Canis lupus familiaris: one gene and its partners. The protein of the gene in region 3 interacts with the protein of the main gene of each other region in a pairwise test. Links are inferred from orthologs where the notes say so. Each region holds a gene or a part of one and is shown on either strand. Other genes may lie near its edges. The genes, in order: GSK3A, LRRK2 and LRP6.

Evidence for each region.
Region 1: the proteins of LRP6 (region 3) and GSK3A interact in binary tests that used the Homo sapiens proteins (3 or more experiments, as listed by UniProt). The link is inferred for Canis lupus familiaris from reciprocal best matches to the Homo sapiens genes LRP6 and GSK3A.
Region 2: the proteins of LRP6 (region 3) and LRRK2 interact in binary tests that used the Homo sapiens proteins (3 or more experiments, as listed by UniProt). The link is inferred for Canis lupus familiaris from reciprocal best matches to the Homo sapiens genes LRP6 and LRRK2.

Annotation. Positions count from the first base shown.
Region 1 is NC_049222.1:112,857,045-112,861,398, reverse strand, and holds the start of GSK3A (glycogen synthase kinase-3 alpha), read right to left. Parts: upstream 2,946-4,354; coding exon 2,663-2,945; intron 749-2,662; coding exon 561-748; intron 1-560. UniProt on the Homo sapiens protein: Constitutively active protein kinase that acts as a negative regulator in the hormonal control of glucose homeostasis, Wnt signaling and regulation of transcription factors and microtubules, by phosphorylating and inactivating glycogen synthase (GYS1 or GYS2), CTNNB1/beta-catenin, APC and AXIN1.
Region 2 is NC_049248.1:33,297,740-33,300,039, forward strand, and holds the end of LRRK2 (leucine-rich repeat serine/threonine-protein kinase 2), read left to right. Parts: intron 1-182; coding exon 183-304; 3' UTR 305-1,721; downstream 1,722-2,300. UniProt on the Homo sapiens protein: Serine/threonine-protein kinase which phosphorylates a broad range of proteins involved in multiple processes such as neuronal plasticity, innate immunity, autophagy, and vesicle trafficking.
Region 3 is NC_049248.1:12,171,205-12,175,594, forward strand, and holds the start of LRP6 (low-density lipoprotein receptor-related protein 6), read right to left. Parts: upstream 2,808-4,390; 5' UTR 2,622-2,807; coding exon 2,567-2,621; intron 1-2,566. UniProt on the Homo sapiens protein: Component of the Wnt-Fzd-LRP5-LRP6 complex that triggers beta-catenin signaling through inducing aggregation of receptor-ligand complexes into ribosome-sized signalosomes.

The DNA of each region.
Region 1 (4,354 bases), on a different chromosome or scaffold from region 3:
TCCTTGTTCCCTGGGCCTCCACTAGGTTACAGGGCACAGCTGTGTGAAGGAGGAATGGGGGACAGATCTCCCCACCACGGCATGTGGTTTGGTGAGTGTGGGGCAGGCTGCATTTCACCCTGCACTTGGCCAAGCACCTGGGTCAGGGCATGACCTTCACAAACACGCTCATCACCTCCACCAGCTTCCTGCCCGCTCTGTGCAGAAGGGTAGCTTTGTGCGTGAAGTGGAAGGCTTCGGAATCAGGCAAGCCAGAGTCTAGTCTTGCCCTCAAGTCAACTCTCTTCTACGAGTCTCAGTCTTAAGACACCGATACCTACCCTCAAACGATCTTTACGGGAGTTAGATAAGAACTTGCCCTTGTTACAAAGCACTTCACGCCAATCCAAAAGCCAGTAAACACCATCCTGGGCTCTCTGGGAACCCGCATGCCTATCTTCCACACAATTCACTCCCTTCTCTTTCCCTACTCTGGCCCATGTTCAGGTCCCCTGTGGAAAGCCAATTCCAGCCCTCTCGCCTATCACACCTGGTTACACCTCCTTGTCCCCACTTGCTACCTTGAACCTTTTGTCCTGGAGAACCTTCTTGATGGCCACCAGTTCCCTGGTCTCAGCCAGCCGTGCCTGGTACACGACCCCAAATGAGCCATTGCCAATCACTTTGATGTCTGTGTAAGCCACCTCCTGGGAGCGCTCCGGGCCTTGGCCTAGAGTGGCTACCACTGTGGTCACCTTCCCGCTGTCACCTGGGGAACAAAGGGGACACACAATCCACTGACCATCCCCCTTGCCACCACCCAATCATAGGGCTGTGGGAAGGAGGGGAATCACTACAAGGTGCTTACTAGGGGCCTCCTCATCCCCTCATCTTGGAGCAAAGATGGGTGTCAGATGCCTCCAGGTGTACTTTCTCCTTTTCCCTCCAGGGAATGCTAAATCCTGCCTCTTCTTCTGTGGGAGGACACTGACATCTAAACCTCTTGCTGTTCAAGCGTTGATAAGCTGTAATTTCTATGCCTGATAAGCAGCAAATCACTGGTCCCTCTTGGTTCGAGGGCAGCCTCACACTTGCAGATGTTGACTCCATCGACTCAGAGCTTACTGCCTGCTGGGGCCCCCTCCTGCCTGGGGAAAGCCTGACCCAATCTCTTCCATTTAATACAGCAGCAACCCTAAGGTACTTTGACTTTCAGCAAGCACTAGTTTTTGTCACAGCTTGGGGAACAGTGACCTCTAAGTCCTCATTGGTAGAGCTGGTAACTGCCACTGGTTTTCGGTGGCAGAAAGGACTCCTTCAGACTTAAGTGCCAGTGCCAGGACTCTCACTTTTTGGGGAGAGCTAGCCCGTCCCAAATACTTTGGGGTTAGAAAAAGTGCTGACATGACCTCCTCATCTGTGTGACCCAGAGCCCTAGACCCTTTCATGTATTTGGAGGGGTCCCCAGTGGGCAAGTACTAAGTTCTGAGAATGGCGAATCTGACCTCCGTTAACCAGGGGCTAGCCAAGCCTCGGTCCTCCAAAGGAAAGCTGTAACCCCTAGCTCCATTCTCCAAACAGCAGCAAACTTTTGTGGCGTTCTTAGAGAAAAGTGGCCCCTTTACTTTGGGGAACCATCAGACCCCAAAGAAAAGGAGTCACTGATGAATCAAACCCATTTTGAGGGGGCAGTGACACCTTTTGGAAAGAGATGATCCTACACAGCTGTTCTTCCACAGCCAGTGACACCACACCTCAGAACATGGGTTTAACCTCAGATCCATATCCTATGGGGAACTATGACCCTCCCCTGACCCTGTTTCATTTTTGTGGAAGAAGACCCACCACTATAAGTTTTTCATTTTCCTTGGTGTTTTGGGTTTGTTGTTTTTTTTTATTTTTTTTTTATTAAGCAAATTCTACCCTCAATGTAGAGCTCGAACTCACAACCCTGAGATCCAGAGTTGCATGCTCTACCGACTGAACCAGCCAGGCGCCCCAAGCCAAGCTTTCAAAAGAACACTGACTACAGACTTGGTCTGCAGAATACAATGATTCCTAGTTTGTCCTTATTTCTAAGAAGCAACAATCATTAATTTCTACCACCGGGGATACAGTTTTACCTGTTACAGATGGGGTGATGGTAACTGATCTTGCGTTTTAAAAGGAAAGACTGCCTGGGTACCAGGTTTGGGAAGCCCTGGCCCAATCCTTCCCGGCCAGAGTGACCCCTAAACCATTTCCATGTGATATTCACTCCAAATCCCCATCCTCTAGAGGGGAGCAAATTCAGACCCCCCTCTTCTGAGGTGATGGTAATCTCATTCTTTTTGGGAACAATAACTCTCTAGCCCCATTTGCAAGTGATGACTCCTGATCCTGTTGTCTAATGGATGGCAACATCAGATTCCTGTTTTTGAGGCTTAAGGATCCAAGCCCTAGGCATCGGAAGAACAGGAACCTGTGACCCCTGTTTTGTGGAGAATTACTAAATCTAATCCTAAACTCCAATTGATGGTGACCCCTCAAATCCCTTTCTCTGGGAGGGGGAGACCTCAGATCCCATCTTTGGGAAGCACACTGAGCTGGAGCTCCTATCTGGGCATACTGAAGAACCTGATCGACGTCTGAAGGGCTTCAGGAACCCAGATCTCCACCCCCCACGGACGCTGCTAATACTCACGGCCCAGCTTCACTCCCGGCGGCGGGAAGCTAGTGCCCGCACCCGGGCCGCCGCTGCCTCCTCCGCCGCTGCCGGTGGGGCCGCCCCCGGAGCTCGAGGCCCCCACGCCCCCACCCATGGCTCCGACTGACGCCTTCCCACCGCCGCTGCCGCCCGGGCCGGAGGCCGAGCCCCCGGGGCCGCCGCCGCCGCCGCCGCCTCCGCCGCCTGGCTCCGCGAACGAGCTGGTCCGCGCCCGGCCCGAGCCCCCAGGGCCGCCCCCTGAAGGCGCGCCGCCGCTCATGGCGCCGAGCGCAGGCCCAGGCCGCGGGGCTCGGGCTGCCCGGGCTGCCCCCGCCGCCGCCGCTGCCGCCGCCTCCCCCGGGCTCTGGCCTCTTCCAGGCCGCGCCGCTCGGGCTCCGGCTCCGGCCCAGCGCCCGCCGCGGGGCACGCCGGGAGATGCAGTCCGCCTGCCCTACGCGCCGCCGTCGCCGCCCTCGGTCGGCACAGAGAACCGCGGGGCACGCCGGGAAATGGAGTCTGCAAAGGCTTCAGAGCTGACCGCGGGGGATGACGGGTCGCGCTGCTCGTCAGGAAATAGAGTCCTAGGCAATAAGTCGGCCGACTGTGTAGACGGCGGACCCTCAAGTACTTTGAGAAGTGGAGTCAGAGTCACACACTCGCTCCACTGCAGCAACTGCGAGCGCTAGATGTGCTTCAGAAATGCAGTTGAAGCCACTCTTTTCGGAGAGCTTTGTAGTCCTGATGCACGCCGGGAAACGGAGTCCAGACGCTCATTTAGTCTATTGGTTGTGTATGCCGGTCAGCGCCAGGTGCACTGTGGGAAATTGAGTCGGCGCCGGTGCATCCGCAGATATCAGGCCGTGAAGCAAGCCGGGAAATGGAGTCGTCGCCACGCCCTCACCGCATTGCAGGTGTACCGCGACTGCCAAAGTACGCCGGGAAATGGAGTCCCATGTGCTCCCCAAGCCCCAAGTGGACACTGCTATTACGGAGATAGGCTAGGAAATAGAATAGGTAGGTACGGCGTTCCTCTGCCCTCTTATGGTGGGTCGCAGTTCCTGCCGGGAAATGTAGTCGACACCAACGCTTCGGAGTAGTTGCCACAGTGAGCCTTTGTGTCTTCTGGGAAATGGAGTTCAAGGCAGACTCATTTGACTGAGGGGGAGGGATCTACCAGGAGCCCGAAGAATGCTGGGTAATAGTCCAGACCGGATCCTAACCCTTTGAGACGAGACTGCAGAGGCTCGCTGGGAAGTGTAGTCCAATCGGTACATTTGGGAAAGCGTGAGCCAAATGTGGAAGACGTCAATCCCCTGGGAAGATTGCAGTGTTCAACGCCTCCTTACCCTCCTCAGACCCCAAGAAAAAGCTGAAGTTGGTCAGGGGCTGCGGTAAAATGGAGCCCAAACATTCCAAATTCCAAGTTTCCACAAATCAGGAAGGAAAAACCCTCCCTCAAACAATTTGGGGAACAAAGTTCCCGGTGGTCTCTCAGAACAATAGTCTTCTAGCTTTTTCTACCGACGCGGGTTCACCAAGAGGCTGAGACGAGCATTAAAGCAGGTGAAAAAATTTCCGTTTTGCATCTCCTTTCAGCCTTTTGCGTACTCCCGCCTTCTAAGTTTACAGGATCCAGGAGGGCCCAAAACAAGGAAGCCGGCTAAGAGTAGCCTCGGGTTTTGTGCACGG
Region 2 (2,300 bases), about 21 Mb from region 3:
AAATATATTTTAAATATTTTCTAGATGGAGTTTCATATAAATGACAGTAATTTAGCATGTTATTTTTAGCTGTACTTATGTATATGTTTGTAAAAGACAAATATAAATGAACAAAATTGAAATAAAATAAAAATGTCTTATGCCGAATCTTTGAAACATGGTTTCATTATTTTGTTTTGTAGAGATACAATCTTGTTTGTCTGTTTGGGACATCAATCTTCCACATGAAGTGCAAAATTTAGAAAAACATATTGAAGTGAGAAAAGAATTAGCTGAAAAAATGAGAAGAATATCGGTTGAATAAGAGAGATATTGAAGATCTTCATCTTTGGATGGGAAAATTATTCTATTGTAAATATTTCTTTAAAAATGTTTACATATGTAAAGGGTACTTCCACTCTTTGAAATAGCTTGTGTATATGAAGGAATGTTTATATATTTTATTTTAAATATAAATATGTGTAAAATAATTATCAGTGGAAAATATGTTTTAAAGAACTATTTAAAACATAACATTTTATTTCCTATGCATCCTAATTAATTTTTTGGATTAAGTAATGAAAGGAAATCTAAAAAATACATAATTGCAGGACTCATACTAAAATTTACAAAGTGATTAATTTTGTTGTTAAAGGAAGGTAAGCATTATTTAAAATTCTGCACTTAAACAAAAATGTTGTTTGATTACTTTCTACGTATTTTGCAAAGTAGAATAAACATATTAGGACTGTTTGATGTGTAATACATTCCTTCTTAGATTACTTTTAAATGCAACTATCATATATGCTTGTAAACAGTCAATGAATTATCACTAATAAAGCCCATCATTGGGATGTGCATTCTCTTTATTGCTGATTCAAACAATGCATCTATTGCAGCTTCCTTCAATCTAAAAGAAAATGTCATGAAAAGTGCTAATGAGAAAATGAAATATATGTTTCTCATATCCAGAAAAGACACAGTTACTTTCTCTTTTCCTGTTTTACAGTTCTATCTTTGAATGTGGATACCCTGAAATTTGTATAATTGGTGTAGATACAATGTTCAGTCTTGAAGTGATATTTTTAATGTTTAATTTGGATTTTCAGTGTTAAACTAGACAGCTGGTTACTTGTTCCTAATCTCTGCTCTGATGCTTCTACCTATGTTCTTCCTAAATTTATGACTCTGCAAATCCTGCATCACTCAGGAAAAAAACAAAAACAAAAACAAAAACATTTCCAGAATTACAGAATTCCACAACTCCCATCAAGACTATGCATGCAAGTTTGTAACACTTTAGTTTGATGAGGAAGAGAGGAGCTTCAGGCTATGATGGGTAAAAATACTTGCTAACCTAGTCTCCTGAGTTATACCTAAATTGTTTAAATATCTGGCCACAGTACGAATATCAGGGCCAAGTATCTACAGAACAAATTGAGTGTCATTTCTGTTTTAAGGAAAAACATTTCTAGTAAATCAATTGGCCCTGGCCAATATTCATGATTTCAAACAATTTCCTATGATAGGATAACTAGTCCATTTAATATTCTCAGAACTGACTGATGTTGTATTATAGGATGATTTTAAAAATAACGAAGGAATTTGTTCCTATGATATTTCTCACTTTCTTTGTATTTATTGCAATTTTTTACAAAGATAATTATGAAGAAATATGTAAATGAAAATCATATTTAAATGGAACAATAAACATTTTTAAAGCATGTTTAAGAATTTTAAAACTTTGTGATAGTTTTATTTTTCATATAAAGGTCTATAATCTGCTTAATATGAAATTTTATATGAATACATGTATGGGTATATAGAAAATGCTAACTAAAGTTTTCTCCTGAGGATTTATCCAGTTTTCTATAGTACACATAGTTTCCAGGATCCCAGGATAAAACCTGACAGGCCTGATATGTTTCATTTTTTAAGTTCTCATAAAAATTAAGTAGGATTGTTCAGTTTTGAGTGTTGAAAAAAGAATGACTTTAGAGCAATTAATTAAAAAATTGACAGTCATTTTAAGTTTTGCCTGGTTAAAACCCCCAAAGAAGCTACTAATCATTATAAAAGCATAAGAGTTTATCTTCATAGAAAATATTTTGAGAGGAATTTTAAATGTAAAAAGAGAGTCCCTCAAATATAATTTTGGCAAGCACTATGGATTATGTGTGAACTATTTTAAGTAAAATTCATCTTATTTTTCATCAAGATTGTGATATAAATTTATGAAACACAGCAAAAAGTAGTAAAAAAATTTTTTGAGAATTTTCCTAAATTGAAAATACCAAAAGTAGATATGTCTAAAACCCTTG
Region 3 (4,390 bases):
ATAACATTAGCAAATCACTGATACTCATCATTTCATTTAAAATGCCTGTTAAACATGCAAATCAGATCAGTACTACTACCTACATTTTACAAGAAAATGAGGCCCAGAGAAATTGACTAGACCCAGAATCACAAAAGTTATTAAGTAGAGAAGCATAGACTTTGAACCCAAGATTTAAGTGTCAAAATCCCCAAATCTTTCCATTACACTTTGCCCTCCCATGGTAAGGATAGGGATGCAGATGATAATAGCATTATTCCCTGGCCTTCAGATAATGATTTAACAAAAGGTCTCCCAAATTCTCATCATCCCATCATCCCAATGTTAACTTTTCAATGTTAACTCCTCTGTCCAAAAAAAAAAAAAAAAAAAATTATCTTGAGGCAACAAATTAATCACATTGTTCTCCTTAGAGTCCAAGGTTAACTAATGCCACTTTTATAACAGAGAATGACATTATCTAGGAATGAAAAGAATCTAAAATATGAATAATAATCTTTCACATCAAAAGACCATTTTAGTTCAAATAATATGCACCCATAGTCAAGTACTGTTCAATTCAAAGACCACCTGATACCATGAGTATGCTACATTTAAAATGAGAGGAAACTTTGCTATTAGAAATGAGGCAGTTTAAACTATTAACTCTTTTAGGTCTGTTACATAACATCATACTAAAAATTAATGCTTCAAGTGCAACTTCTCTAAACCATGAAGGAACAAACCCAACTCTAGGCTCAAACTTGGTGTTAAAATAAATGGAATTTACATCACACTCTCATCTTCCAAGAAATAAAACCAGGCAACCAGAAGTATCCCAAGTTATGGGTTTAGATTTCCCCAAGACTTTAACCAATCAGTGGACTCTCATTTAATTCTACTAACTTACTGCCTTAAAAAAAAAGTACATATTCTTATGTAAAATATGTTTCTCACAGCTATAGCAAAATCCCCTTTCAACAGTATACTATAATGAAATAAACATACACTTATTAAACCTCACAAAGAGATAACAATGCATTAAATTCTCTGCCAAGAAAATTAAGTGAGCACTGTCTTTCTGGGGGTCACATGCGAAAATAGTTTGGGATATGCTTACAGTGAGTCATAATTAAGTAGATATAACATGCAAACGTAATAATCCTGCAGAAGAGTACTAAAGAAAAAAACTCCTCCTCCTCCTCAACAACAAAAAAAGTCAATCACATTCATCCAAAATAAAAATACACACACAAAAATGGCATACTGGGCTCATTTGTGCAAGGTCATGAGTTACTATTGTGCCCCGTCAACTTTAACAAGTTTTGGAAGCTTAGCAAAAGTTTAGCTTGTTAAATTAAAACCTAAAAATCTCCACAGATTCAAGAGATCTTCTGCCTGGAAAGAATTTACCACTAACATAAGTGAGAATTTTAAAAAAATCAAAGCCACAGCCACTGCATCGATCCGTGCTTAAATTCCTCTGCTAGTAAATGCTCAATAGCACCAGACTCCTCACCACTTCAACACTGATAAGTTTGAGAAGAGCTGCTGAAATCTTGAGGGCCAATCAAAAACCTAAGTGAACTGTCACAAAATAAAAGTCACAGTGTACGTGACAGCTTTACAGGCCAATTAAAAAAAAACAAAAACAAAACAAAAAAAAAAAAAACACCACAGGGCCATCTAATTAATTGATGCGATCCTCCGAGTAAATGATCTAGAATAAAACAGCCCCTGTTATTTACCAAAGTGCAAGCAGTCCCCAGGGGAGCGCAGCAAATGATAATAACTTCGGTTCCAGGACAGGCTCCTCTTCACACCAGTATGACTTTCCTACTTAGTGCCAACTGTACACTTGCATGCTCCGAAAATAGGGGCGAGTCCTGACGACCAGGGGTTATAAGGGCAACGTTTCTATTTTATTATGGGCCGAAGCTGAGAAGAATCCCAATGCGTTTCAGCTCGACCTCACCACCTCGGAGTCACTTTCCAACTGCGCTCTCACCCAGGATCATTATATCCCCCAACGGAAGCCAATCATTAGTAGTAGCAAGGCCCGGAGAAAAGAAAATATATATATATATTTTATATTTATATATACTTTTTTTATTTATATATATATACATATATAGTAAAGAGGCTCTAAAAGTTCACCTAAGAGACACGGAGAAGGTGGGGGCTTCAGGAGAGGAGGCCGACATTTAAAGCATCTCAAACATTTTAAAAGCCAAAACACGTACAAAGACCCTCCTCCCGGGTGACTCCGGGCAGAAAGAGACCCTCAGTCACCGCGACAGGACGCGGCTGCACGGGTTCCCCCGGACACGCAGCCGGATCGGGGCCGGGGCTCGCCCGGGGAAGGTCCGGAACCCCGGGCAGGGGTGCGCGTTGTGGCCCGGCGGAGCGCACAGCCCCTGCTCCCGGGCCCCTTTCTCTCTCCTTCCCCACGACCAGGCCTCTCCGGGCTCCTCTTCCCCTTCTCCGCCCTCCCTCCCCCTCCCTCCCCCTCCCCCTCCCCAGTCACGCACCAAACAAGGCCACCTCCCCCCCAAATCCCACCAACTTTGGCGACCCCCCTTCCCACCTCTCAGGAGCGCACAGAAACTGCAGGCCAGGAGGCTCCTCAGGACGGCCCCCATCTTCCCTTCTCGCGTTCTCTTCTCTCACCGGCGAGGGGCGGCCAGAAGGGGGGGAGGCGAGGAGCCGGGGCGGCCGCCGCAGCGGCAGGTCTGCAGGCTCATGCTTCCCAGCTTTCCAGAGAGAGAAGAAAGAAAGGGGCACGTCAGGGCTCCGCGCGCGCCGCCGCCGCCGCCGCCGCCGCCGCCGCCCTCTCTACCGCGCCGCTCTGCCGGGGGCTCGCGCGACGCCAGCGTCTGCTTCCATCCCGCCGCCTCCTCCCCCGGCGCCCCGCTTCCCCCGCGCAGCGCCTCATTCAGCCTCTTCCTCTCACGCAGCGGCGCAGGGATACCGCGGGCCGCCGCCGCCACGGGTCGCCGCGAAGGTCTCCCTGCGCGCGGGCGGGGCCCTCCCTCGGCGCCGCCTCCCGGGCCGCCGCGAAAGGAAGTGGGGGGCCGCGCGCACGGCCTCGGCTGGGAGACCCCGGGAGGCCCGCGCGGCGAGCGGAGGCGAGCCCCGGGGCAGAGGCCTCCCGCCGGCGCATTCCTATGGGATTCTTTCCTGGGCCGGCCGCCGCGGCCCTCCCCGCGGAGGGCGTGAAGCGACGTCGAACAACCTCGGCCCGGCGTGGTCGGGACTACTTTCTGCGGCTCGGCCGGGCCGCCGCCTGCTCCGCTCTTTGTGCGGGCGCCGCCGGCCGAGCCAGGTGGAGGTCCGGGCCGCCGCGGGCTGACACCTGGGTCGCGGGGGGGGGGGGGGGGCGGGGCGGGGCGGGGGGGGGGGGGGAGGGGGCGTGGGAGCTGCAGGCCCGGCTCTGCGCGCCGCGCGAGTCCCGACGCGGGGCGCTGAGCTGGCTCCTTTCTCGCGCTTGGAAACGGGCTTGAGCGTTTTTCTTTTACGAAAAATTAAGGCTAATGCTGCTTCCCCCAGCTTTAAACGTGACATGGTGACGGGTGGTCAAACGCCAACTCCGAGCAGAGATTTTTCATTTCCTCCTGCCTTTGCAGAATTACAGACTGTCCCCAGAAGTAGGGCCGGCGAGGACTAACGATTTTCTAAACTGGCAGATAAAAATCCCAAGATAAATGCGTCAGCACCTAAGACAGAGCAAAGGGACACTTGGTAAGGACTGCGTTGGGGGTTTTAACAAGTTGCGATTTATAGATGAGTGTTTGGCAATTTTTTTTGTTGTTGTTGTTGTTGTTTTTATCAGCTCGCAGCTTGAGGGGGAAAAAGATTCACCTGAATCTCAGACTGGTTTTGCACGGCCTCTGCTGCTTTGGATGCACTGGGCTACCAGATGTAACAGCCCATAGGCTCCCTTGAAAAGAAGTGGCAGCTTCAGCCTAGGAGGGAACTCAAGCCCGAGTTAACTATAATGGAGCCATCAGGTGCATTCTGTCCAGCTGTCACAGGCCCTTACCTGGAGGCAGATGGGCGGGGACAGTGGAGCAACTCTCACAACGTTACTAATATAGCAAGCAGTCTTCTCTTATCTGCAAGGGGATGCCTCCCAAACCCCCAGTGGATGCCTGAAGCCATGGATAGTACCCAACCCCGTATATACTGTTGTTTTTTTTTTGTTTTTTTTGTTTTTTAATTTTTTTATTTATTTATGATAGTCACAGAGAGAGAGAGAGAGGCAGAGACACAGGCAGAGGGAGAAGCAGGCTCCATGCACCAGGAGCCCGATGTGGGATTCGATCCCGGATCTCCAGGATCGCGCCCTGGGCCAAAGGCAGGCGCCAAACCGCTGCGCCACCCAGGGATCCCTGTTGTTTTTTTTTTTACC